3 linked regions of the Arabidopsis thaliana genome follow. The protein of the gene in region 1 binds, or shares a complex with, the protein of each later gene. Each region holds a gene or a part of one and is shown on either strand. Other genes may lie near its edges.

Region 1 (3,689 bases):
TCTATTGGTTCTGTTAAGGTAGCTATATGCTGTGTATTATCAATGATTTCCACAGCGGGCGGTAAAATAATGTCTCGAGCAGTTATATATCCAGGACCTTGGACACAAATAAGCGCGTTGCGCGTTCCATATAGATTACTTCTTAATACAATCTCGTTCAAATTCATTAAAATTTCATGTACTGATTCTTGAATACCTGCTATGTTAGAATAGTCATGTGGTATGTTCTCAGATTTTGCACGTGTAATACATGTTCCTTCTATTTCGCCAAGTAAAGCTCTTCGCATCGCAATGCCTATTGTGTCGGCTTGGCCTTTCATAAGTGGAGACAGAATAAAGCGTCCATAATAAAGACGCTTACTGTCTCTTTTTGATTCAACACACTTCCACTGTAGTGTCCGAGTAGATACTTTGACTTTCTCTCGAACCATAGTAATTTTATTTGATCAGATCGTTGAATCGTTTATTTCTCTTGAAACCCTTTTAGCCTTTTTTTAGTTCTATACACGTCTTTTTTTAGGGGGTCTACAACCATTATGTGGCATAGGGGTTACATCTCGTACGAAACTTAAAAGTATACCGCTTCTACGAATAGCTCGTAATGCCGCATCTCTTCCGAGTCCAGGGCCTTTTATCCTTACTTCAGCTCGTTGCATACCTTGATCCACTACTGCTCGAATAGCATTTCCTGCTGCGGTTTGGGCAGCAAAGGGTGTTCCTCTTCTTGTACCCCGGAATCCACAAGTACCTGCGGAGGACCAAGAAATCACCCGACCCCGTACATCTGTAACGGTTACAATGGTATTGTTGAAACTTGCTTGAACATGAATAACTCCCTTTGGTATTCTACGTACATTTTTACGTGAACCACTACGTGTATTTTTACGCGAACCAATTCTTAATATAGGTTTTGCCATTTTTTTTCATTTCACAAGAAATATATGGATATATCCATTTCAGGTCAAAATAGACCCTTTTTTCCAACTCTTTGGAAGTGCCTTTTCTTTTACTTTAGTTCCTTTAGTAAGATTATCCTTGTCTTTGTTTATGCCTCGGGTTGGAACAAATTACTATAATTCGTCCCCTCCTGCGGATTAGTCGACACTTTTCACAAATTTTACGAACGGAAGCCCTTATTTTCATAGTTGTTATTCCTTAATTCTGTGAATATATTTATTGGTGGACGAAAAAAAGGTTTCTTGATATTTTTGAATCTTGAATTGTATCTTCGTGAAAGGAATGGTTGAAATTGAAAAAACACTTACTCATTTGAATACTTATTATGGAGTCTAGAAAATGGCTGTCCCCTTATTAACTTATACTTAAGAACTTACTCAAAATTTTACCTTTTTATCCTATAGGTATACCTATACAAAAATATGTCGAATCCTTTCAGAAGCATGAACGAAAAAAAATCTTTAGTATCTAAACAAAATCGAACCATGCCGTTCGGAAGTGATTAAGAAAGAAAACTTTTATTAATTCATTTTTTCTTTAATTTCATTCGAAGTAAAACATCCGAAACTTTTTTGAACAGGGGTGGTATTACACAACCCCCTTTTTTCACAAATTGTAAGTTACAGATATCTAATTTTTATATTAGAAGGATTACCATATATAACACAAAATTTCTCCGCCGATTCTTTTTAGTCGAGCTTCTCGGTCTGTCATTATACCTTGAGAAGTCGAAAGGATTACAATTCCTATTCCGCCTAAAATTCGTGGAATTCGTTGAGAGTTAGAATAGATTCGTAGACCCGGTCGACTTATTCTCTTTAAATTTAAAATCGTTTTGTAGGATTCTTTCTTATTTCGTCTATGTCTTAGGGTTAAAATCAAAAAATATTGGTTGTTTTCGCGATGTTTCCTTACGTTTTCGATAAAACCCTCTCGTAAAAGGATTTTAACAATACTTTCCGTGATGTTAGTCGATCCTATCCGAACCGTTCCTTTTCTATTCATGTCAGCATTTCGTATAGAGGTTATTATATCAGCAATGGTGTCTTTCCCCATGATAAGTTAAAATTCCTTATTGTTCTATAATTTTGATATAATCAACATGTTCTTTTTCTTTTATTTATATATAGATATAGACGAATTATATATTAATATATGAATTAAATTCTTAATATTTTATTATTAAGGGTATATGCGTGATACAGAATCTATTAATTAATTTTATTTCAATACCTGTTTTTTTAATCCGATACTAACTATCGCTATCGATATTTAGATCTTATAATACCTCAGGAGCTAATGAAACTATTTTAGTAAAGTTTAATTGTCTCAATTCCCGTGGGATCGCCCCAAAAACTCGAGTTCCTTTTGGATTTCCTTCTTGATCAATGACAACTGCGGCATTGTCATCATATCGTATTATCGTCCCATTGTTACGTTTGAGTTCTTTACAAGTACGTACAATTACAGCTCTAATCACTTCTGATCTTTCTAGAGGAGTATTTGGTATTGCTTCTTTGATTACAGCAACAATAACGTCACCAATATGAGCATATCGGCGATTACTAGCTCCTATTATTCGAATACACATCAATTCTCTAGCCCCGCTGTTGTCTGCTACATTCAAATAGGTTTGTGGTTGAATCATATCATTTTTTTTGTATCTCTTCTTTTAATGCAAAGGACGAAGTAAAAAAATATTGTTTGTCAAAAAAAGAAAACTTATAATCTTTTTACCCTTAAATGTTATTTAGTTTTTTCATTATATATTCCTATTCAGAAATAATGAATTGGGTTTTTATAGGCATTTTTGATGCCGCTATTGAAATAGCTTTTCTTGCTATATTTTCGGGTACACCACCCATTTCATAAAGGATTTTACCTGGTTTAACCACAGCTACCCAATACTCAGGGGATCCTTTCCCAGAACCCATACGCGTTTCCGCAGGTCTTACTGTAACTGGTTTGTCTGGAAATATACGTACCCAAATTTTTCCACCACGTCGTACATTTCGTGTCATTGCGCGTCGCCCTGCTTCTATTTGTCTAGATGTGATCCAAGCGGGTTCAAGTGTTTGAAGAGCATATCTGCCAAAACAAATACGATTCCCACGAGAAGATATTCCTTTTAGTCTTCCTCGATGTTGTTTACGAAATCTGGTTCTTTTTGGGTTATAGTTGATGGTTCTAAATTAGAAATTCCATCTCTACTACAGAACTGAACGTGAGAGTTTCTTCTCATCCAGCTCCTCGCGAATAAAAGGACTAAAAAAGCTTGTATTAAGATATAGTTAATGATTAATTCTATTAATCATGATATTCAATTTCATCTGATCTCTTCTAAATTTGTGTATGTCTTTTTCGAAATGGAATCCAAGATTAATTCTATTTATTTAAAAATAACGTAACGTAATATCATCATCTCGAATGTCGTTTTTGTTAGAATATTCTAACAAATCCTTATTTTCTTTTATCTTTTTAATTTTTGTTTTTTATTACTTTTATTAAAAAAAAAGTATTCGCCGGCGAATATTTACTCTTTCAATATCTATATTAAGTTTGTTGTTTATCCCAGGAGATCTCTGAATAAAAATAAGAATAGATAATAATCTGGTTTATTCCGCCATCCTGTCCAATGAATTACTAAGATTTATTTTTCAATAGAATCCTCTATATTCATGGGTTCCGTCGTTCCCATCGCTTCTTGATTAATCATTAGGCCCGAATTCTAC
Region 2 (4,787 bases), on another chromosome or scaffold:
GCCGTTTAGCTTCGATTCTAAGCTCTTCCTTCATCTTTCTGATGAACTCGTCGAATTTCTTATTCATCTCCTCCTCCGTCGATGTCATCACTCCTACGTTCCCTTCTTCTTCCTCGTTTATAGATCCGCCACGAAGACCACACTCTTCCTCTCCATCATTATCTGCTAATGTGTTGTCGTCGTCATCTTCTTCTTCGTTGTCCTCGGTTTCTTGATGTTTTGTATCTTCCTCCACTGTAACTTCCTCTGCAAGAAAGGACTCTGTTCCTATTCCATGATCAGATTTATACTCTAGCTCCAGTATCGTAGTGTAACTCTCGAAATCTCCATAATCAAAGGTTTTATCGGTATTACTCCAAATTTTCTCTATTGGTTTGGACGAAGCGACCAAACCAGAACACTTAGCAACAACCACTACGAGACCATTGCAGAGGAGGAACATGTAGTTTTTATCTACTGCGTGTGTTACGAGTTGGATCATGAACCTATATAAATAGAAGTCGTGGCTGGTTAAAAGAGATAAAATCCACATCGAAACTGCTATAAACTTGGTCAATTTCTTCAGAAACTCCGGTTTTATTTGATCCATCTCTCTGGTTTCTTTTCTTTGGTTTTGTGAGTGAATGGTGAGGACTAGAATAAGAAGAAGAAGAAGAAGGAATTAAACAGGTTAAAGTGTAATTGTGCAAAGCGTTACACTACACTCAACGGCTTTGGTATTTATAGAATTTAAGCCAAAGGCAATGGGCATCTGTGGATGATTTTACCAAACCACCCCTTGTTCTGAAGCTGCATGGCTGCATGCCACGTGTGAAGTGTGATTTCCCAGTTATGTGGATAAAAAAAAGTCTCTGTGTTTCTTCTATTGTTTGTTTGTCAACTAATCCATGTTTTCTTATGTCCTATTATTGGTTACATTGCGAAACGACCTCTGGTTAGTGTTCCAAAAGTTCCGAATCTTTTATGACCTCTGATGGAATTCGGATTTTTTTTCTTTTTATATCATCAAGCTATACATGATGACTTAGCTTTTATGGTATGTTAATGGTAAAGGAATATGACTTTTAAGTCATGTATAGCTTGATGATATATATAAAAAAAAATACTCATGATTGAGACAAATACAAACGGAATAGTAAGGGATGATTGGTCTTTGAATAGTGTGAGGGCTTGTGGACAATAATATTTAGAAGATGTCATTGTCTTTTATGTCTTTGATTGGTTTAAGTCATTTTCCTTCTTTAAATTGCATGGATTTGGCGACATCATTATGTTAATTGTTAGGCTTCTTCTACATGTATTTTGCTTTTATTAAAAAAAAATTATACTTGAACTACGCTAACACCTTATATTTCCGTGTGAGATTATGGATCACACATTTGAAGGTATATATTTACAGATTATGGATCACACAATTACAGATAAAATTAAGAACAATGCATTTAAAAGTCAAAAATCAAAACTACGGAATCCTTCCTTGATATTATTGTCTTTTGTATTCAAATTAATATTATTTTATGAGTTTGTATTATTTCATCGAATATTTATATTGTCCATTTTTTTCCACATTCATTGCATATTTTCATGGGGTTTTGTTTGTCAAGTAGTTCATTTTGTCTTCCACTTTTCTTAAATTTTCCATCTACTTCACGAATGTTTGTGTGTTGAATTTTCCAAAAGATATTTATGAGATACAAAAGAATCTTCTAAAGACAGATCACAATCCACAAGAAAGAAAATACCGAAAGACAAATGAATCATATTTTACTAGGTTAGAATATTTTTGGTCCCCAAAAGAACTATAAAATATGGGCCTAATGGGTACTTTTGGTCCCTAACAGAAACTATACAATTTGGGCCTAATGGGTATTCATTTATAATAAGCGTAGGCCTTTTAATGAATTAATGGGCTTAGAATAAATAATATCTCATCATTTAAAAAAGAGAGAAAAAGGTTTTGGATAAAATGGATAACCCTCAAGAAGAAGCTGCTGAAGAAGAAACCTCATCCTTCGAACGTTAAGAGGAAGAAGAATAAGAGAAATCGATTCGTGGTTTTGGGAAAATTCAATGGCGGTTTCTACTGTATCGTCGTTTCTATTGCCATCTTTCGGCATTCCAAGCTCTTCGCCTTCTTCTACCAGACTCAAAGTCTCTCTGCTGCCTTCATCTTCTACCCATGGCGGCCTTAGTTCCTGCGTCCTTACGAAACCATCCGTCTCGCTTACGAAGGTCTTCGCTGTTCCCGATACCCTAGATCCAACTCCAGAAATTCTCGATGAACCCGCCTCTGAGGTACACTCTTTCCTCTGTCAGTCTCGGATTCGATTGTTTGCAGAGCTAATGCGAAATTTGGGGGGGGGGGGGGAAAGACATTGTTTTGCAGAATCATTTAGCACTTTGATGTTAATTCTGTTAATAATAGTCTTTGTGTCTGTGTGATTCAGGTTCCGAGCTCTTCATCCATCAGTGTAGACGCGGATAAGGTATATTCCGTTACTGTTACAGCTCACTTACTAGAATACAGATTTTACGAGTACTTGTGCATTGGTGTGTTCTAAATTCTGTGTCCATCTTCGTCAAAACAGTAGACTTTTTTGCTTTACTACGTTTTCACAGCGCTAAAAAGTATCATATCTGTTCTAACACCAATGCCCATTGCTGTGTTAGAGGTCACTGCTAGAAATTGATACGCAAATTTTCAAATTTGATGTCTTCAATGTCTATCTTTGTCAGATCAATAGACTTCTTTGGTTTACTACGTTTTTTCAGAGCGATAAAGAGTCTCATTTGTGTGAAATGCCTTCAAGTAGATATCATCTTGTATATACAGGAAAGGAGAAGTAATTGTATAGAAATCTTGATCGTCTTTAGATGGTATCTTCATAAGATTTGCCACAATAGAGTTTTGTTTTAAGGGGTCTTGTGGAGTTTCATTGTGTTTGGTTTAATTTGATTTATTTTTGTGTTATCAGATGGCGCCAAAGCAAAAGATTAGGATCAAGCTTAGATCATACTGGGTGCCTCTTATTGAGGACTCATGCAAGCAGATACTTGATGCTGCGAGAAACACCAATGCAAAGACGATGGGTCCTGTTCCATTGCCAACCAAGAAGCGTATCTACTGTGTTCTCAAGTCTCCTCACGTTCACAAGGATGCTAGGTTCCATTTTGAAATCCGGACACACCAGCGCATGATTGATATTCTCTACCCGACTGCTCAAACTATCGATTCTTTGATGCAACTTGATCTTCCTGCTGGTGTCGATGTGGAAGTGAAGCTCTGAAGAAGAAGCGTAACTACAATGGTAACAAACAAAAAAAGTGATCTCTCTTCTTAATGGTTTTTGAATATTGATGTGTCTTAGCTACTGAAACTGCACATAGGCTCCAATATTTATCCTCAAAAACAAAACTTCATCAAATTACAATCTTTCTCTGTTGACCATCAAGATCTTGATGCTTGTTCTTAACCAAAGTGTTTTTTCTTCCTCAGATGTGATGGGCACTTTTGCATTGAATGAACAGACTGTTTCAGATCAACTACATTGCTTAGAACTGGTAAGCCTTGTATCATCTTTTTTGAGAACCTTTGTAACGAAAATGTAAGTTGTATTATCTGGTCCTTGGAATCTATCTTTAGCGATGCTTGGTTCTTAGTTGATGAACATATCCTTAATTAAGCAAGTTCAAAGGAATTTGTTTTTGTTTTACTAATTGTTATGCAGTTTGCCTGTGTCCATTATGATAAGTTTTTTTATTTTTGTTGTATTCAAAGTGGAATCTTTTTTTTGAATATAAGTATTATAGTAGTATTATAGTAGGAATAAGAAGATGCACAACTTGAGTTATTTTAAAACCAGGAGGTTGGAATCTTGAAAGCGACTTCATTATTATAATAAACGTATAAGTTCGTTTATCCACAAACTCAATAGGGAAATTATAATTTTTTGTCACAACACATTTCATTTATCAATTATCCTCTAGACTCAGTTCGTCTCTTTTCTTAGCAGCCAATTAAAACCTGCAAGTGTTGTTTTACCAGTCTTTCCTTTCCAAGCTTACGAAACGATCCAAGGGAAAAAACAGTAATGGTTTCGAATTTATGTCTGATAAGTCGATGGCGCTTTTTCTTATCTAATTTGGAATTTTGGATGATGCAGAAATTGTCAACCCCCCAATATTATAAAGTTGAAGAATATTCTTTTCCATGTTCAATCATACACACAACTATATCATTATTTTAATCATATGAAATGGTTTTTGGTATAGTAAGAAGTGGTTCATTGTAAGATAATGTCTTGACCAAAGAAGAAAGAAAACGAATAGTCGCCAAAATTGAATTTGGTTTAAGTAGATGAGACAATGATGTGGCGGTTTATAATAGTCGTTAAAGTTAAGGCATATTCCCACGATATACCAACATGGACCGTCCATTATTATTTATTTTGATTATAGTTTGTTCTCAAAAACACTCGAATAAATTGCTTTTTTTTTTCACAGCATTACTGAAATCATACATAATTTCTGCTTCCATAATCTTATATTTTACGAGATCGGTTTTATGATAAACTTTCAAGTAGTACCATTATGGGTTGTATTTTCTTTTACTACCATTTTGGGTTTATTGCAATTTGCATAAACATATTCAAAACTATTTTGCGTTCAACCAAATGGTTAAACTCTGGTTCATATTGATATACCAAAACACTCATATTGGATCAAATATGTAAGGTGATAATAACACTGATATGAACTAGTATACTATGTCTTATGAGTCACTATTT
Region 3 (4,189 bases), on another chromosome or scaffold:
AAGATCTTAAGAATAGTTTCATGTTGATCTAGGAGTAACTTGGTACAAAGTCAGGATTCTTTGGACAACTAGTTAGATGAACTAAGATAGCTTATCTTCCATTGATTGCAATCTCACATCAACTTCTGTGTCTCAACCTGTTGCTTCATATGATGTTAAAACAGATGTGTTCTTCTCGGGGTGAGCTGTGGTGGGAACATAGCAGACTATGTAGCTCGGAAAGCAGTGGAAGCTGGGAAACTTCTAGAACCGGTGAAAGTTGTTGCACAGGTTCTAATGTACCCCTTTTTCATTGGAAACAACCCAACACAGTCCGAAATAAAGCTGGCAAACTCTTACTTCTACGATAAGCCTGTCTCTGTTCTAGCCTGGAAACTCTTCTTACCAGAGAAAGAGTTCGACTTTGACCACCCGGCAGCAAACCCACTTGCCCATAACCGCAGTGGACCACCTCTGAAGCTAATGCCTCCAACACTTACAGTAGTAGCTGAGCATGACTGGATGAGAGACCGAGCCATTGCTTATTCAGAAGAGCTTAGAAAGGTAAACGTAGATTCTCCAGTTTTAGAATACAAAGACGCAGTTCATGAGTTTGCTACACTTGATATGCTTCTCAAGACTCCTCAGGCACAGGCCTGCGCCGAAGATATTGCCATTTGGGTCAAGAAATACATTTCACTCCGCGGCCATGAGTTCTCTTACTGAAAATTTTTACCCTGTTATTATTCATTTTCTTCCTTTTTTTTGTGTGATAGCAAGATTTTCTGGGTAGGATTAGAGACAATCCAAGATCGAGTCTTTTGGCAAAAGCTATAAAATTTTATTTTTTGGTTACTTATGTATTCATATGTACGTATTCTGAATAAACCATTTTTGGTTCGACCAAATTTTCAAGTTTGTTCTTGGTTTGTCATCATTCTTGAATGCTGAAATCTTCAACTTCTTTTGTAACTTTATAATGAATGATGAAGATACGGAATAATAATAGCTAAAAAGCCGAAGATAAACTGGAAAGGGCTCAGTTCGAACAAAGGTTTGGGAATTACAAATCACATTTAAACAGAGATGACTAGACAAACTAAAAAGAGTATTACAGAAGAAGAAGGAGATCATGAAGATGATTACTTGGAAACTTTCTTCTTCCCTGCAATAGCAATTTTCTTGCCTTTAAGAGTCCTGCAGTTGTTCTTGGTTCTCTGTCCCCGACATGGCAGCCCTTGGATGTGCCTTACCCCACGGTAACACTGGATCTCCTTCAACCTCTTGATTGCAAGAGCATTGAACCTCCTCTGCACAACATCCACAACACAAATCAATAATTCATTCACAAAGGCCTAAGAACCAAATCAAAACAAGAGGAAACCCAAACTAAAGCAATGAAAACACCAAATAGATAGCAGCCTAAGTTCTTCTCCAATCTTCAAGAAACTGCTCGAGAATGGACTGACAGAAACTGAAACTATGATGCACATTACTCATGTCCTAAAGTGTGTAAATGTAAGGGAAAGTGTATTACCAGATCACCCTCAATCATGTACTTGGAGACTTCATCACGAAGAATGATGAGTTCTTCCTCAGCCATGTCTTTAGTAATCTTGTTCTCCATCTGAAGATCAACAAGAATCTGACGAGCCCTAGTTCGACCAATCCCATGAATGTACTGAAGAGAGTACTCAATTCTCTTATTAGCCGGAATCTCCACTCCACCAACACGAGCACATCTGATGCTTAGACTCTGCTTCTGCATTTCATTACAAAAAAAAAAAAAAACTTTAAAAACACAGAGACAAATTCCCCCAAAAATTGATGGAGTGTTCTATAACCACCCCTAACCCAAAAATTGACGAACAAGAATGAAGTAACACATAAAAAAACATGAAGTCAAGCTCGATAAATTACAACATCATACGCAAGAGAGAGTCCAAGAGAAATGATTACATTGGGAGTGTTTGAAGCTGGGAGGGCAAGAGTGTTGCGAGAGAGAGGATTGGATTTTGCCCAATTGCAAATGAGTGAGAGCGAGTGCGCTACGGGCATCGCAACCATCTGCGCCATTGTTATGTTCTCTTCCTAGGAATTTCGGATTCTGGGAAACTAATTCAGAGGTGACGAAGAAGAAGAAGAAGATGAGCTGAACGGATAAGGCAAACGTCGAATCCAAACGCTTCTCTTGTTTTTGCTCCGTCTCTACTTACTCTATTCAATTAATTGCTTACAAAACTGGCAAAATAAATACTTGTTGGGCTTTGTTTTTTGTTGAGATAGGCTCGCTATTGTATAACACGGCCCAACTAGTGGACTATAACAAAAATGCAAAAACCGAGTGGACTATAATAAAGTGATACAACTATAAAATGAAAAAAAAAATGATTTACAGATATTTTCTTAACAACTAAGATGAATGGTGTGATCAATGACACACATTTGATCAGAAGACGAAAGGCATGAGCCTTGGCTCCATGTGGGCACGTAGCTATTGAGGATAGAGTCATGATAGAAAAAGATTGTATAAAAAAAATGGTAAGTGTATAGATGAAAAGTCAACGGATGAGAATGAGTCTTGTTAACTATTTATCGAGATGGTCGTTCACTTCGTTATTGTCACATGTTGTTGTATTTTAAGGTGTTTGGGGATTTTTTCCATCTTGCATATATATCTGATTCATTGGAGTTGTACACTTGTACTCATGGTTTTGTTGGCAAGTTTACTACAATATTTCGAGTGTTTTCATGATGTTTATTGTTTCGTACTTTACACATGAAACTAGTTTAAAGCTTGTCGTTCTTCTAATAAGGATATCACTCATTGATTTTGACACCAACGTCTGAATAGTGAATACACCATTATTTGTTGAGGCGTACCCATTACTGTCACGTAAGGCCTGCATTTCATTATTTTGTTTAGGCTGACCCAATTTATTTTATATATTTACTTCGGATATTTATCTATTCTATAACCTTAAGATGAATTAGTTGATTTTAAAAAGAAAGTCCACCTTTTCTCAAACGGGCCATTATAATGCCTTGATTAGAAGATTTGGTTCGAAAAAGAGGAAAATATGATTAAGATAATAAAAAAAACATCAAGAGATAAATGTTTTATTATGATAGGAACACAACATCACAATCTTTGAAGAATTAACAAAAAAAGAAGGAATACATGTGAAAATTAAAATAAAATCTCATAGAGAGTAAAACATATTCTGAAGATGAATGGCAACACATCTCATCAGAAGACGAAAGACATAGCAGCGACCAATGCGGTGGCGATGAGCTGAGGGTAGGCGGAGAAAGTGGCGGCACTTGGAGACGGAGCCTTAGCCATGGGTGGCATTGGAGCCATAGCCGGACCATGGTGGTGGGTTCCGTTGTGCGACTCAGCAGTCATGACCATCACGGCCAAGACAATGCAGATGAAGGCGAAGCGGATCAAAGAACTTCTTGGTGCCATTTGAATGTTCTTCTCCTTTTTCTTCTTATTTGGTTTCTTTCTTTGTTGTTCTCTGTATGATCTATCAACAAAGGGGGTCGAATTTATAGAGAGAGAGAGGGGTCCTATAAAAAATGTTTAGTGGGTTAAAAGTCAACGCATGTGAATGAGTCATGATGTTGAGACGACCTAAATTCGTTATAATTTACATGTTGTTTACTTGAATATTTAAAAAAATGGAAAAAAGGACAGAGTGATCATGGTTATGTGTTTGAATTTGTTAGTGGACACCCATTTATATGTTCGTGAATGTTCTGCCGTTCTGGAACAGCTGTTACATAAGAGGGACGTTTCTTGACTAAGCCAAATTGACCCGGTTTGATTAGGGATTGATTCCAATCCATGTTCTGTTGCCGGAGACCAAAGAAAATGGTGTCTTTTGTGAGGCCGATCAGGGGCTTTGGCTCTTGATGAAGTTCAAAAAGAATAGAAATGTTAGCGTTGGTGATAGTTTGATATTTCCAATAAAGCATTCCAACTGTACCAACAAGTTTTAAAGATCAAACATCCGAAAGTACTATACAATCATTCTTGAAACTTGAAAGCAAACCAGTAAAACTTAAAAAGTAACACCATGATTCTTTTAACTAAATTTAGCAAATGTTATTATTAATATGATTATTTATCTGTTTGAAAAAACTGTAATTCTAGTAAACAAACAAATAATAAAAAGAAAATTATTTGATAAAACGGTAGATA

What was found. The genes of interacting proteins can lie anywhere in the genome.
Region 2: rps11 (region 1) and AT3G13120 share a complex: the UniProt entries of both Arabidopsis thaliana proteins name them as parts of the 30S ribosomal subunit.
Region 3: rps11 (region 1) and EMB3137 share a complex: the UniProt entries of both Arabidopsis thaliana proteins name them as parts of the 30S ribosomal subunit.

The regions. Positions count from the first base shown.
Region 1 is NC_000932.1:78,460-82,148, forward strand, and holds rps11 (ribosomal protein S11), read right to left. Parts: upstream 918-3,689; coding exon 501-917; downstream 1-500. Other genes in the region: rpoA (RNA polymerase alpha subunit), read right to left, coding at 1-431; rpl36 (ribosomal protein L36), read right to left, coding at 1,030-1,143; rps8 (ribosomal protein S8), read right to left, coding at 1,609-2,013; rpl14 (ribosomal protein L14), read right to left, coding at 2,237-2,605.
Region 2 is NC_003074.8:4,218,810-4,223,596, reverse strand, and holds AT3G13120 (Ribosomal protein S10p/S20e family protein), read left to right. Parts: upstream 1-1,949; 5' UTR 1,950-2,070; coding exon 2,071-2,295; intron 2,296-2,447; coding exon 2,448-2,486; intron 2,487-2,975; coding exon 2,976-3,287; 3' UTR 3,288-3,308; exon of another isoform or gene 3,309-3,324; intron 3,325-3,496; 3' UTR 3,497-4,287; downstream 4,288-4,787. Other genes in the region: AT3G13130 (uncharacterized protein), read right to left, coding at 1-589.
Region 3 is NC_003076.8:4,616,718-4,620,906, forward strand, and holds EMB3137 (Ribosomal protein S13/S18 family), read right to left. Parts: upstream 2,265-4,189; 5' UTR 2,056-2,264; coding exon 1,939-2,055; intron 1,742-1,938; coding exon 1,517-1,741; coding exon of another isoform or gene 1,472-1,516; exon of another isoform or gene 1,290-1,471; coding exon 1,122-1,289; 3' UTR 706-1,121; downstream 1-705. Other genes in the region: CXE16 (carboxyesterase 16), read left to right, coding at 165-705; AT5G14330 (uncharacterized protein), read right to left, coding at 3,230-3,503, 3,722-3,834. UniProt on the Arabidopsis thaliana protein: Located at the top of the head of the 30S subunit, it contacts several helices of the 16S rRNA.